Caenorhabditis elegans: one gene and its partner. The protein of the gene in region 2 purifies or fractionates together with the protein of the main gene of each other region. This does not show direct contact. Each region holds a gene or a part of one and is shown on either strand. Other genes may lie near its edges.

Region 1 (7,326 bases), 7.1 Mb from region 2:
CAATATCTCGATTAATTTTTGAAGTTTTCCAATTGACTCGCGCATTTTCTAAAAAGTTTTTAAACTTTACATTGAAAATACCCCTCTAACTCGAATATCTGATTTTATTGGAATTTTGAGTTTTTTTAGGTTAAAAAATTCTTGTGCTAAAATCATCCATTATAGTTCGTAAGTCAGCAAATTTTGGCTCAAACTTAGAGCGATTTCCAATTTATGGAGTTTTTTGTTCAGAATTCTCGAAATTTTCTCATTTCTGGAAATTTTGAGTCTACGAGTCACACAGTTGTTCCGTAATTAGCTTCACTTACATCTCCTCAACTCTGCAAACTCTCAAACTTTCGGGAAAGGGTCTCGCCACGAAATCACGGGTGGGCGGCAATTGCAGTTCGGCAAATTGCCGGTTTGCCGGAAATTTTCAATCCCGGCAAAATTCCGTTTGCCGGAAGTTTTTAAACGGGATCTTTTATAAGACGGAAACACTTAAAACTGCCATTTTTAATTTTTTGCCCGTTTTCTCTAAATATTTTCATAGAATTTACTGACTTTTTAGGATAGATGTTTTCATGGGATGTGCACATGTTGTTCCGGCAAATCGGTAATTGCCGAAAATTTGAAAAACGACAATTTGCCAAAAAAATCGTTTGCCGTTCACCCCTGTATTGTACCATTTTTGGCGAAAATGCGCGTAAATTAATATGCTTGCGTGTGTAATATTTCGTTCATATATTCTAAATATACGCACCTTTTGAAATATTCATAATATATGCATTTACGTACGTTCGAGAATATTTTGGGAATACACATTTATCATCATTCCCACCCGTTGCCATAGTATCCTCATCCCCGCCCCGCCCCGCCCCTTTCTCTCATTTCCTCTTCCAAATCCTTAATGGCTCATCCGGTCATTGGAGAGATATGGCAGATGTGGCGGTTTTGACGAATGTTCTGGAGAACTCGAATTTTATATAACTATTAGACAATTTCGATATTAAAAACATTTATATGTAAAATTTTCAATTTTTTGAATTTGCTCGCCGAATTTTGACTTTCTGACAATTGTGTGTCGATTTACGAGGGTTATGTATATTTACGATATGTTTTTAATCATTATCGAATGCTGATTTCCGTTTTTCTACGAGTTGTCTTCATTTTCGTTGGTTTTTTTTTGTTTTTTTTTTTTGAAAGTGTATTTTTTAAGGTCAAAAAACTAGAAAAATATTCAGTTTTCAGTCAGGAAAACCATTTATTTGGTTTTTTCAATATTAAAAAAATTATTGGGAAAAATGAATGAAACTCGTCGAAAAACGAAAATCATCATTCGATAAAGATTAAATATTTCGTAAATCGACACACATGTCTCCGCCGCGAAAAATCGAAATTTCATAGAGGCATAAAAATTCACAATATTTTAGTTTTTTTATTTTTTATTTTAATCCAAATCCCTATTCATGCTTAGATTTTTAGGTGTTTTTCTGTAAAAAATCAAAAAATTGTATATTACTCATAAATTTTTCCAATTTTCTCAAACCTTGGATCTCGCCACGACATTATTAAAAAATTCCCGTTTTCTGCAGAAATGACGACAACGGAAGAAGCTCCCAAATCGCCGCTTTTCGAGGCAATCGACAAAAATGACACTGAAGCAGCGCTGGCACTGCTGAAAACGAAGGAACAAGCCGCTCAACGGGATCCCAGTGGAATGAGTGTGCTGGCAGCTGCCGCGTATAGGTATGCACCTTTAAAGCGGCGACGGTTACTGTATCCTCGCAGATTGTTTAAAGGTACATACCGTAATCCGTTGAATTTCAGAGGAAATCTTACGTTGGTCGAGAAAGCGATTGAGCTGAAATGTGATGTGAATGATAAAACCGATGGAACTCTGTACACTCCACTCATGTTTGCCGCCTTATCAGGTAGGGCAAAAATTTTTTAAAAAAATTTTTTGCGTCAAATTTGATGCAAATTCTGGTTTTTTACCGTTGAAAAGTAAAAAAAAATTCCGAAAAAATCGATTTTTATGCTAACAACAAACTTTTAAGTGAAAAATCGTGGAAAATTAGACCCAAATCACGTATTTTTGATCTGAAATTCAATTTAGCGAAAAGTCATCGAAATTTTATGGTTTTCGCGGTGAGACCCAATATTCGCAATTTTTTTTTGCACCAAATACAACACATTTGACGCGCAAATTCAAATTTTTGAAACTTTTTTCCGTTTTTACAATATTTTTAGGCTGAACCCCAATATTTGAAAAAAAAAAAACCAATACACTATATTTTACGCGCAAATGTTAAATTTTTATTTAAAATCCTCGTAAAGTTCTATTTTCTTTTTTTGATCGTTTTCAAGCTCAAAAATTCAAATTTCAATTCGAAATATTACCGGAACACAAAATTCTGAAAATGCGTACTGGTCAACATATTTGACGCGCAAAATATCTCGTAGCGAAAACTACAGTAATTCATTAAATGACTACGGTAACGCTTGTGTCGATTTACGGGCTCGTTATTAAAAATCATTAATTTCAAAAAAATCGAGCCCGTAAATCACCACAAGCGCTACCGTAGTCATTTAATGAATTACTGTAGTTTTCGCTACGAGATATTTTGCGCGTCAAATATGCTCAATACACATTCTCAGAATTTTGCGTTAACGTATTACTACTTTCTTAGTTTTTCCAAAAAAAAAATTCGAATACACCATATTTGACGCGCAAACTTTTTTTTTCAAAGCAAAATTGTCAAACGTTTGCAGGAAAACAGGACGTATGCCGCCTGCTAATGGACTCCGGAGCCCGTATGTATTTGGTGAATGGAATCGGAAAAACCGCCTCTGAACTGGCGGCATTTGTGGGTCATCACGAGTGTGTGGCAATTATCAATAATCATATAACAATTGATGTGATCGAAGATCTTTTGCGGCCAAAAGTGAATGGAAAATATGAAGGAGCTGAGGAATATCCGGATGAGCTGGCTGTATTTATTCATTCATTGTGTGGATCACATGAGATTCATCCTGTTAAGATTATTTTTCGATTCAGTAAATATCCCGATTCGTTGAAGTATAAGAAAAAGGTACATAGCTGTGTAGTTTGGAAAAAAAACGAAAAATCTGAAAATTTGAGAAATTTCCTTAAGCTTTTTCAAGATGCGCATTTTTGTTCATTCTTATTTTCAAAAAAATCCAAAAAGTTTTTTAAAAAATTTAATAAAGCATTCTTTTTAATTTCAAAACAAAAAAGTTATACCAAATAAAAACTTTTAGTAATCAAAATTTTTCACTTTTTCTCGGTTTTTCTCATCGTTTTTCAAATTTGAGATCTCTTCCTGAATTTTGCCTAAAAATTGATTTTTTCAAAATATTTTCAGAAATGATTCTTTCTGTGAAAAAATGTTTGAAAATGCGAAAATATTCGAAACTAAAAAAACTTTTATTAAAATAAATTTTTGAAATTTTTCAGAATTTAAAAATTGAATCGAATTAGGTATCAGTAGTTTTCAGATCGATTTTTTCGAATTTCTGAATTTGTTAAAAACTAGAAATTAAAAAAAAAACTTTTGATGTTAAATGTTTTTCGAGATTAAAATAAACCGAAAACCCAAAAAAAATGTAAAAATTGTGTTCTTTTTGTTATAATAAACCAGAATTTTCTCGAAATTTTCAGAAGGTTCTAGAATATTTCAGAATTTTCTCGAAATTTCCAAAAGGTTCTAGAACATTTCAGAATTTTCTCGAAATTTTCAGAAGGTTCTAGAACATTCCAGAATTTTCTCGAAATTTTCAGAAGGTTCTAGAATAGTTCAGAATTTTCTCGAAATTTCCAAAAGGTTCTAGAACATTACATAATTTTCTCGAAATTTCCAGAAGGTTCTAGAACATTCCAGAATTTTCTCGAAATTTTCAGAAGGTTCTAGAATATTTCAGAATTTTCTCGAAATTTCCAAAAGGTTCTAGAACATTTCAGAATTTTCTCGAAATTTTCAGAAGGTTCTAGAATATTTCAGAATTTTCTCGAAATTTCCAAAAGGTTCTAGAACATTACAGAATTTTCTCGAAATTTCCAAAAGGTTCTAGAACATTACAGAATTTTCTCGAAATTTTCAGAAGGTTCTAGAATATTTCAGAATTTTCTCGAAATTTCCAAAAGGTTCTAGAACAATCCAGAATAATGTTTTCAAAAAATTCAAATTTGAATTCCCGCCAAAATGTTTTCAAAAAATTAAAATTCGAATTTCCCGCCAAAATATGTACAGTACTCCTACAGTACCTCTACAGTACTACTACAGTACCCCGACCATATCCCACTACTAACCCCAAACCTATATCTCTTCAAAAGACTAAAACACAATTTTTCCTAAACTACAGTAATCCTACCGTACTCCTACAGTACTACTACAGTACCCCCACCATATCCCACTACTAACCCCAAACCTATATCTCTTCAAAAGACTAAAACACAATTTTTCCTAAACTACAGTAATCCTACCGTACTCCTACAGTACTCCTACAGTACTACTACAGTACCCCGACCATATCCCACTACTAAGCCCAAACTAATATCCCTCCATCAGCCGAAAACGCCTTGCCTTTGTAAACTATGACGTCACTACTTAACAAACGGACACTATTTTTTTATATTTTTTTTTCAAAGCAAAAACCACCCATTTTCCAGATCCTCTACGTCATCGATCGTGTCTTCGAGAAACAGCTTCGATGTAAGGAAAGCAATGAAATAATGTCGCTCAAGCTTTGGCTAATTCTATTTTCAATGCGTGAAACCTCGAAATTCGTGGAGTCGAACAAGGAAAAGTCGCCAGAAGAAGCGTCTCTACAGTACGCAAAACTGATTTCCACGTGGCAAGAGGGCGATGAAACTAGGCGAGCACTTGACGTGATGCTGAGAAATGCGGTTGCTTCGTTCCCGTATAAACATTCATTACTTCATGATACTCTACAAAAAGCACTGCAAAAAAGTCAAATTGGTGAACGACCAAGTGCCTATGAATACATTGTTCAGGCACTTTTCGGACAACGAATCGCTGCGGTCTGCCAGTTTTGCTCGGTTTGCGGACATCCTGGAGCCAAGAAACGGTGCACACAGTGCAAAGTATGGAGTTTTTAGGGTTAAAAATAATTATTTAATAATTTAATAAAGCTCGAATTTGGGAAATAATCAATTCCAAATTTTAAAAATATGGAAAAAATTTTATTCCGTTACATTTTATGAATTTTCCCACAAACTCGGCATTTGGCTCTAGCTTCTTGCCCAAGTTTAGCCCAAAAAATATTAACTTGAAGCTGTCTAAACTTGGGCAAAAGTTAGACAAAACTTTGGCAAAACTTGGATTCAAGCTTTACCAAGGTCTAACCCAAGTTTCACCCAACTCTTGCCAAACTTTGGCCCAAACTTTTCTTATTTCGTTTCAAATTTGGGCCAAAGTTTGGCAAGAGTTGGGTGAAACTTGGGTTAGACTTTGGTAAAGCTTGAATCCAAGTTTTGCCAAAGTCTTGCCTAACTTTTGCCCAAGTTTAGACAGCTTCTGATCCAAGTTAACATTTTTTGGGCTAAACTTGGGCAAGAAGCAAGAGCCAAATGCCGAGAAACTCGAATAAAAATTGAAAGTTTTCAAAATTTCAGTTCGTTTTTAATTTACAAAATTTGGCAGCTCTAACAATTCTTTAAAGATTCTTTAAATTAAAAAAAAGAATTATTAAAACTTTTTAAAAAAATTCATTCTGTAGAAAATTCCCGTAAAATACTCTTTGAAAATCCGGGAAAAAACTTCAAAAAACAAAAATAAATTCTAGACATTCTGTAAATATCGAAAAAAGAACATTTTGTCTGTAAATGTATTAGTCAAAATTAATTTCTGATACTTTTTCCAATTTTTCAAAATTTTAAGTGTCGAGGTTCAATTTTTTTGAATTTCCTGTTTTTCCTTTATTAAAAAAAGTTTTCTATAATATGCTGTATTTGAAAATTAAAAACTATATCTGAAAATATCGAGGCACAACGTTTTCAAGATCTGGTGAAATTCCGGATCTACGTTTTCCGGATCTACCATTTCCGGATCTACGTTTTCCGGATCTGGCACCGTGCCAACGCACAAAACGCTTTTTTGTTCACTCGACGCACGTTGTTTTTTGAAAATTTCTTCTAGAAGAAACGCTTAACAACACGCGACGCGTAACAACGGAGCATCGTTATCACGTTTTTCTCCGAGAAAAATAGCGTTTTAAGAGTTGGCACGGTGCCAGATCCGGAAATGGTAGATCCGGAAAACGGAGATCCGGAATTCCGCCAGATCTTGAAAATGTGGTGCCTCAAAATATCGATTAAAGAATTTTTTCTGAAAAATATCCAATTTTTCAACAACAGAATAGCTAAAAAGTGAAAAAAAACTCAATTCTCATTATAAATTGCAAACAATTTCCAAATTTTGATAAAATGGAAAAGAGTTTAAAAATTTCAGGCAACACATTTTTTAACTCTAGTAAACGTTTTTTAAATTCCAACAATTTTTACAGCTCGCCTACTGTTCCCAAGAATGCCAAAAATTCGACTGGCCAATTCACAAAAAAGTGTGCTCATTTCTGAAAACGCGACAAGAAGTGTCGCCCACCGACGAGACCGCCATGTCGCTGGACGATATTCAGGCTCAAATCGCCAAAATCGACGTGTAGAAGTGCCGATATTTCGATCTCAATATACTTTTTTTCTGGAATTTATTTATTTTTAATGTATATTTCGGCTTCATCTCATTGCACGAACTTTTAATTTCATTTTCATAAATTCATTTTTGAAGTCATTCCTTGAACAAAAATTCACTAAAACATGCATTAAGAAATATGGAATCCAAAAATTAATCTAAAAACCTTTTCAAAAAACCACTTCGTCAAAAACTGATGATGGAAACTCGTTGAAAAACGGAAAGAGTATCCAATAAAGATTAAAAATTTCGACATTTCGTAAATCGACACAAATCTCGTAAATCGACAAAAATGAAAAAATCAGGAACCCAAGAAATTCAATATTCTCATTTGTAAAGACAACTGGTAAAACATTTTCAAATCAAAAAATTATTTTTTTTGCCCTCAAAATTGATCTCCGAATACTATAAAAAAGAAAACTATAAAAAGTGGCGAAAATTCGAAATTTTTTAACCCCTCTAAAATGGTTCATTTTAGTTGTCTAATGATACAACAAAGTAGACATAGTTCTACAATATCTGATAAATACTTGAAAAGTCTAAAAACAAAAGTTTTTTCGTTTTTTTAACGGATTTTTAAAATCCAGAAGAACGAAAAAAAATTTTTTTAAGAGAA
Region 2 (6,935 bases):
CAAAAGGTCCAATATTATCAGAATCCAATTACTTTCGAATGATTTTCTCAACGAATGACATCTTTGATGCAACCGGATTTTATGCACATTATCAGTTTATCACTCAAGAGAAATCTCAAATCAGTCGGGTCAAGCTCACGATATCTTCTAGCCAAACTCCGTTCTCCTCATTTTTCCTTGTGATATTATTGTTCACCTTTCGATACATTGCCAACATTTTTTAGCTGACTTAAATACATTTTTTCGTGTTTTTTTTTAGTTTTTATAAATTTGTTTTCTTTGTTCATTTATTGAACACTTTAATGTTTTCATTGAAAACAGTCAAATTCAATTCAAAATGAATTTAACTTTCTCTGGAAAAAAACTCTTTTGGATTTTAGAAATATGGGTTAAACCGGGAAAACGCAAACGTCCATCTTCCTCAGCTTACTAGAAAAATAACTATTTCGCATGCAAAAACAGGCAAGGAAAGCTTTCTTTTCTCGAAAAAGTACCTGAAATTCGGAAAATCGGACTTGTATCAAAATCAAAAACTAAAAGATCATACATTTATTCAAGTAAAGGTTTTTTCATTAGCATTATTTTGTTCCTTCTTGTCATTTCATCTTATTTCTTATTGAGCTGCACCTGGACCGAAATCCTCGTAACCATCGTCCATTTTTGTCTTCTTCCCGTCGTCCTTCATAACCATATCCATTCCACTTATCTCCATGTTCTGAAAATTATGATATTAGAAATTTTAAAGTGGAAAAATGATTCAACATTAGTTAAAAATCAGTGTATATTTGATATGATTTAACCTTGCTTGTTTTTTCCTCTTCTTTCTTCTTTGGCTGTTCCTTTGGTTGTTCTTTTGGTTGTTCCTTCAATGGGGGTTTAGCTATATCCTTTACTACATCCTTCGCCTGATCCTTAGGTTGCTCCTTAGGCTGCTCCTTTGGTTGCTCTTTTGGTTGCTCTTTTGGTTGCTCCTTTACCAATTGATCCTTCGATTGTTCCTTCTTCGGTGCCTCCTTCTTTCTCTCTTTCCCAACATCTTCTTTTGTCATTCTTAAAACATCCTTATCATCACGTCGTTTTTCTTTCTCATATTCTTTTGGATCCGTCGATGTCACGGATTTTGAATGCGTGAGAGTGGAGGTTTTCTTCTTGGCTGTCTTCGTCTTTGATCTCTTTTTCTCCGCACCTTCTTTCTTTGTATTCTTGCTTTTGTTGCCCATTTCAATCCTTATTGCAATAAATCGAAAGTCTACAATAAATCAAAATATATAAGTTGAGCAGAAAAAAAAAATTACCAACAAGTTCTTATGTACAGCTTCTAGGACCTAGGTGGAAATAACCACAATTTTTTATAAACTAGGCACGTTTGCATAATGATAAGTCTCACGGCAAAACCATATTGTTATTAATTAATTTAAATTAATTAAAATTCCACTTCTCAAAGGACAGTATGGAAATTTCACGAATTTTCAAATTGACTCGGATAACGTGACTTTGTGTAATTTGAATCGAAACATGCTCGATCGATAGAAAGTTGGAGAAATGTCCACGCAGCCCCAATTTAGTTTGCTATGGCATGGAACACCTCAAAGCGTGTATTACTATTTTCACACAAAGCCTTCTAAGGAGGCACATAAAAATTCGCCTGCCTACCTATGCCTACTGTTATGTTATCCGGAAATTATATATTTTTTTGATTTTCGAAAGAAAATTGATGGGAAAAGATTAAATATGTAAATCTACGCTATGCAAGCACCAACCACTGGCGACCGCGCGGAAGTTCTGAAAAAAGTAGGCGGTTGGTAGGCAGGTAGGTGAAGGCCTGCCTCCTAGACACAAAGTTGTACACACTGTTCGCGGTGAGCTAACAAAGAGAGAAGCTCTAATCGGTAAAAAAATGTTGCAAACAAACTCACTTTTTCAACCGAGAAACAAGAAAAATACGAACGTCGAGTTGCTCAAAACTTAGCAATGGCAAATATGAATTCAGAAACTTCATATTTATTAAACAAAATATTCGCCCGTGGAATCTTATTAAAATTAAATAAGAAAAATTCACGTTTTCAATTCATGCATAAATATGAAAATTTTCTTTTTTTTAAGTCTCTCGAAAAATTTTAGTTATCTCAATTGCTAAAACGATATTTTTCCACGGAACCTCAATTAGAAAAAATTAGTTCTGGAAGCATTATTCTGCCGGTATAGTTTCCTACAGTACTGCAGAAACTTTTTTATTCTCATAGTAAATGAATAGTAAAACATAAAACTAGATATCAAACGGTTGTGTTGTAATAAAAGATGAATATCGGAACAAGAAACCGATTGGATCAGTACAAAAATAATTCATATATAAGTAAGTGGAAATGGAAGAAAACATCACTCATTTGGTATCCAATGTCCCACAGTACATCCTATTATTTTATTCTTTCGTCGACGATCGGCTGCTCGTTGATCGTTGTCGCATCATTGCTGACTCTTTACTCAATTTCTCTTGATATTCAACAATTTGAAATGAATATCAACAGCGAAATGGTTCATTTCAAATCTCGAGCCAATGATGTTTGGAATAAAATGGTTCGAGAAAATCTTCCTCAGAATCAAGCAACGTCTCCATCATTTGGAAGATATATTCTTGCAAAGAGAGCTGCTGGATATGCAACCGGCGGAGGTACAGAAAGAGAATGTAACTGTGCTGCTCAATCAACTGGTTGTCCAGCAGGACCACCAGGAGCACCAGGAGAAGATGGAGCGCCTGGAGAGCCTGGAACCGCTGGAACTGATGGAGAGAATGGAGCTGCAGGAGTTGCTGATAGTTTCCTTGGAGTCGAAGGTAACTGTATCAAATGTCCTGCTGGACCACCAGGGCCACCGGGACCAGATGGAAATGCTGGACCAGAAGGACCATCAGGAGCTCCTGGAGCTGATGGAGATGCTGCTGGACCAGGAGAAGCTGGACCAGCAGGACCAGCCGGACCACCGGGGCCAGATGGGCAGCCAGGAGCACCAGGACCAAATGGACAACCAGGAGCCGCAGGAACTACAAGTACCAACGAACCGGGATCTCCTGGACCGGCTGGACCTCCAGGACCAGCTGGACCAGCTGGAGAAGACGCTGCTGCTCCAGAATCCCCACCAGGACCACCGGGGCCACCGGGCCCACCAGGAAAAGACGGAGAAGCAGGAGCTCCAGGAGCGCCAGGAGGGCCAGGAACAGATGGAGCACCAGGAGTCGACGCCGCCTATTGTCCATGCCCACCAAGAACAGCAGGATTGGCCCAAGAAGCTCCAGCAGGTGCTGCTACAGGTGCGGATGCAAGCTCTGGAGCTGCCGGTGGTGCACCGGATGCAGGAGCTGGAGCTGGAGATGGAGCCACAGGAACATACAGTGGAAGCGCTGTCGTCCGTCGTCGTGCTCGATTCTAATCAACTTAAATTTTTCTGGAATGTGATGAATTTTATTGCAATAAAATTTCTTCAAGCTAAACAGTATTGATTTTATTATTTTCAGCTGTAAACATTTGATAACATGAAACAAAAAATCATAGCAAAACCACATAAGCTCCTCTCGGTGCTTTCGAATTATTTTAGATATTTGTATAATATCAGAACAGTAACTTTCAAATGATTTCGAAACTATCTTCAAATACTCAATTCCGAAATTTTTAAAATTTTTTTCAAACAAATTTTTTTTTTCTAAAATCTGAACATTTTGACATGTTCCCTCTAATATTCTTTTGAAGATTGATCTCATGTTTCGGCTGAAATTTTTCATTATCGTCCTCCTTTGCTGAGTATCTATATCTCTTTTCCTCCCAGTTGCCAATACTTTAAAACAATAATGCGGGGCCGAAAAATGCTTCTTCATTCTTGCTCCTCGAGTAGCACAGAGAGAAAGATCCTCTGTGCTCCCGGACCCTTCTGCCATTTCAACGAAGGCACAAAAAGAAATGTGATAGAGAAGCATGTGTAGTAGAAGAAGAGTGTGAGATGTGGGCTTGTCACTGAAGAGTTCAGAGAGTGTACGGTGGCAAAAAAAGATATTGAGATGGCAGTGGAGACCGATGAGAGAGAATGGGCGGCTTCTGGAGGGAATTCTATTGAAGAGATTCTTTGTAATGATCACGAAAAAAATGGATGGACAAAAGATGGAAAGGTGACAAATATATAGCTATTAATCAAAATTGCATAACTTAAAAATATGCAAATATCTTTAAAAAATGTTGTTTTTAGATCTTCTCCTAATAAAAGGAATAGTGCTAAAAACAAAAAAGATAAAATGAAATACGGTCTACAAGTATATTTCACTTTAACATGTTTCACTGCATAAATCTGGAAGATATCAACAAATTAAAATGCTTTGATCTACCTTTGTTTTGGATAGTTGTCTACAAAATGATAAATCCAGTAGTTCCAAGTTTCTATCTTGAGAGAAAACTTACAGCATTATTAGCATATATTCTCGAAGTTATGTTAAAAATAATTTTAACAAGCGGCAGCACTGCTAGAAATCTTGTGGAAATCGTATGCAAGGTTTAACCAAAATCTGGCCTTACTAAAGTCTAACAAAAACTATTCAAAGGTATGTCCACTCTTTGTAAAAGTTAAATATAAATGGTCTACCGTTTTCTATTACATTTTATAAGTTTTTGTCACGTTTTGGAATGGAAATGTGCGACAATCGATATTTCCTCAGAAAGTTGTTAGCGGGGTAAAACCATCCTAGTTTTTGCAATCAATAAACATCAACTTACAATGTTCAAGATTTTTTCTTTATAATCAAATCTGAAATTAAGTTCAAACGAATGTCAGTACATTTCACCATCCCCTGCTTCTGCAACCAACTAATTATCTCGGTCATCACGATTTGTCAGCTGACACTGCTCAACAAGAGTATTTTGTTGTCTGGTTGATCAGTCGTAATGGAAGTAAAATTCTGAAAATTTAGAAAAGATTTTGAAATTTCACAACACTTATTTAAAAATGACATGAGTCACAAGAAGTAACGGGATTTGGAGTGAAAACGTTGATTTTTTGACGTCATGACACAATTTCAGTTTGAAAATCAGTTTATCAAGCCTATTTTTCATTAATGAAAAAACATTCGGAAGAGCCGATATATTGGAAATTGAATACCAAGTTATTATAGAAGTAATAAAAACTTGATTTCATCACAATTTGTTGTGATACGCTCCCCCACCCCCTCACACACGCACACACACACACATTCTCCGGGATACACTCAATTATTACACACTTCGCACTTATTTCTTCAGAATATGAGATCCAAGAACTTTTTAAAACATTGATCAGATCATATATGACAAGGCTATCAATTAAGGAAGTGTATTAATAGATATGGACAAGAAGAGAGCATAACTATCTGTAATTAAGGAATTTCAAATAGTTGACAACCGAGTTTTGGAATTCTTCAATATTTCGACTGTATAGACGTATTACCATTAATAGAAGACTTTTATAAATTTATGAAAATGGATCATCTAAAAGGTAACAGTATAGTTCTGAGAAACTTTAATGAAAATTGGAGACAACCCAGGCTTGAAGAGCCTGAATAAAGTAAGAGTTGATTACTGATAGGTGGAATGGCATTCGATTAATGGCAGTTCAGTCTCGCTTTTTCTGGTTTTGTGTTTCTTTTTTCTTAAGTGGTCTTCGTTTTACTATCCGTTCGTCAAAGTTCACACCTGCCCTTTCGGACATTCAAAAGGCACACACAAACACGAGTTGAAGTTTTTGGTGGATCCCGATGTTTTTTGTCTGTGCTCATCCCTTTTTGCTGAATTTCTTCCGTGTCGCCTCAACCCGAACCAAACCAATATCATTCGAATGTTTAAAACCTCCTGGCCCGCGGGTGCCTGATGCATCGTCTGCGCTTCGGCTCTCGGCGCGCTCTTCTCGAGATCGTATCCCGCCAACTCGTTGGCAAAAACACAATGGCATTTATCAGATACGCAGCGTAGAGTGGGAGGGTGGCTCAGTGCTAGGCAAGAAGGATTACACTGAGGCTCCTCTCTCGCTCCCTGCCGGGCACACTACCTTCGTAGAAGTTGATGATGAGAGATACTTGGAGACAGAGAGACGATCGACGACGCAACGGCGCGGGATGAGATATGTGTGTATGTGTCTTCCCGACGGCAGAGCCCCAACGCACAATCAGTCAGTCTCGAAGCAGCCAGCCAGCCAGCAGCACACACAGGGGCACCATCCATTTGAATACTCCATTTGATCATGTCATTGTATCGTTCGCCATCCGCTGCTCTTCTTAAGAGCCCGTCGCAAGCAGCGTTCGGTGCTCCATTTGGCAGCATGTCCGTCGCCGATCTTGGATCACTCACCAGACTCGAGGTAAATTTTTGAATGTTTTCTACCATTTCTGAACATTTCACTGCCAAAACCCCAAAACCCGTGTTCCATTTTTCATCGAATCGATGTTTCATTGACTGATATTTTGAATTATATCTGTAATTTAAATTTTAGTAAAAAAGGCATCTAATATAGCAACGAAGAATTGAAAAACTTGAAAAATCTCAAATTGTAGTTTTACAGTACTCCTCAGTCTCAAGAAAAATGTTTGTTTTGTCCCTAAATTGAATGATTGACAAATAACGGCGTTTTCAGTTTTGTAAATATTATTTTTCTGCATCAAAATGTATGGAATAAAACAATATTCCGAGCCAAAACACTATTTTCAGAAAAATTTTTAAACTTCCTAGTTTTCTCTATAATTAAACCTTTAGATTCCTTATTCTAAATCTTCATTTTGAAAAATCTGTTCATCATTCATCTCGGCAACTAGTTTCTTTGTGTAACTAAGATTTGCAACCTTTGTTTAACTTACTGCTTGCTTACATATATTTCCAAGAAAAAGTAGAACCCTAATTCTCAGATTTTCAAATATAGCACTTATAAAAAACAAA

What was found. Proteins that work in one complex are often made in the same cells at the same time.
Region 1: the proteins of C15A11.2 (region 2) and daf-25 fractionate together in Caenorhabditis elegans (co-fractionation; one large-scale study listed by BioGRID). This does not show direct contact.

The regions. Positions count from the first base shown.
Region 1 is NC_003279.8:331,037-338,362, forward strand, and holds daf-25 (Dauer abnormal formation protein 25), read left to right. Parts: upstream 1-1,567; 5' UTR 1,568-1,576; coding exon 1,577-1,728; intron 1,729-1,809; coding exon 1,810-1,913; intron 1,914-2,754; coding exon 2,755-3,074; intron 3,075-4,672; coding exon 4,673-5,107; intron 5,108-6,528; coding exon 6,529-6,684; 3' UTR 6,685-6,809; downstream 6,810-7,326. UniProt on the Caenorhabditis elegans protein: May be involved in the trafficking and dendritic transport of signaling proteins, such as the receptor-type guanylate cyclases gcy-12 and daf-11, to the cilia.
Region 2 is NC_003279.8:7,382,395-7,389,329, reverse strand, and holds C15A11.2 (Protein PXR1-like), read right to left. Parts: upstream 4,933-6,935; 5' UTR 4,813-4,932; intron 3,424-4,812; coding exon of another isoform or gene 2,395-3,423; intron 2,125-2,394; exon of another isoform or gene 2,104-2,124; intron 1,250-2,103; 5' UTR 1,221-1,249; coding exon 801-1,220; intron 716-800; coding exon 614-715; 3' UTR 535-613; downstream 1-534. Other genes in the region: sol-1 (Suppressor of lurcher protein 1), read left to right, coding at 1-224; col-35 (Nematode cuticle collagen N-terminal domain-containing protein), read left to right, coding at 2,395-3,423; unc-15 (Paramyosin), read left to right, coding at 6,247-6,363.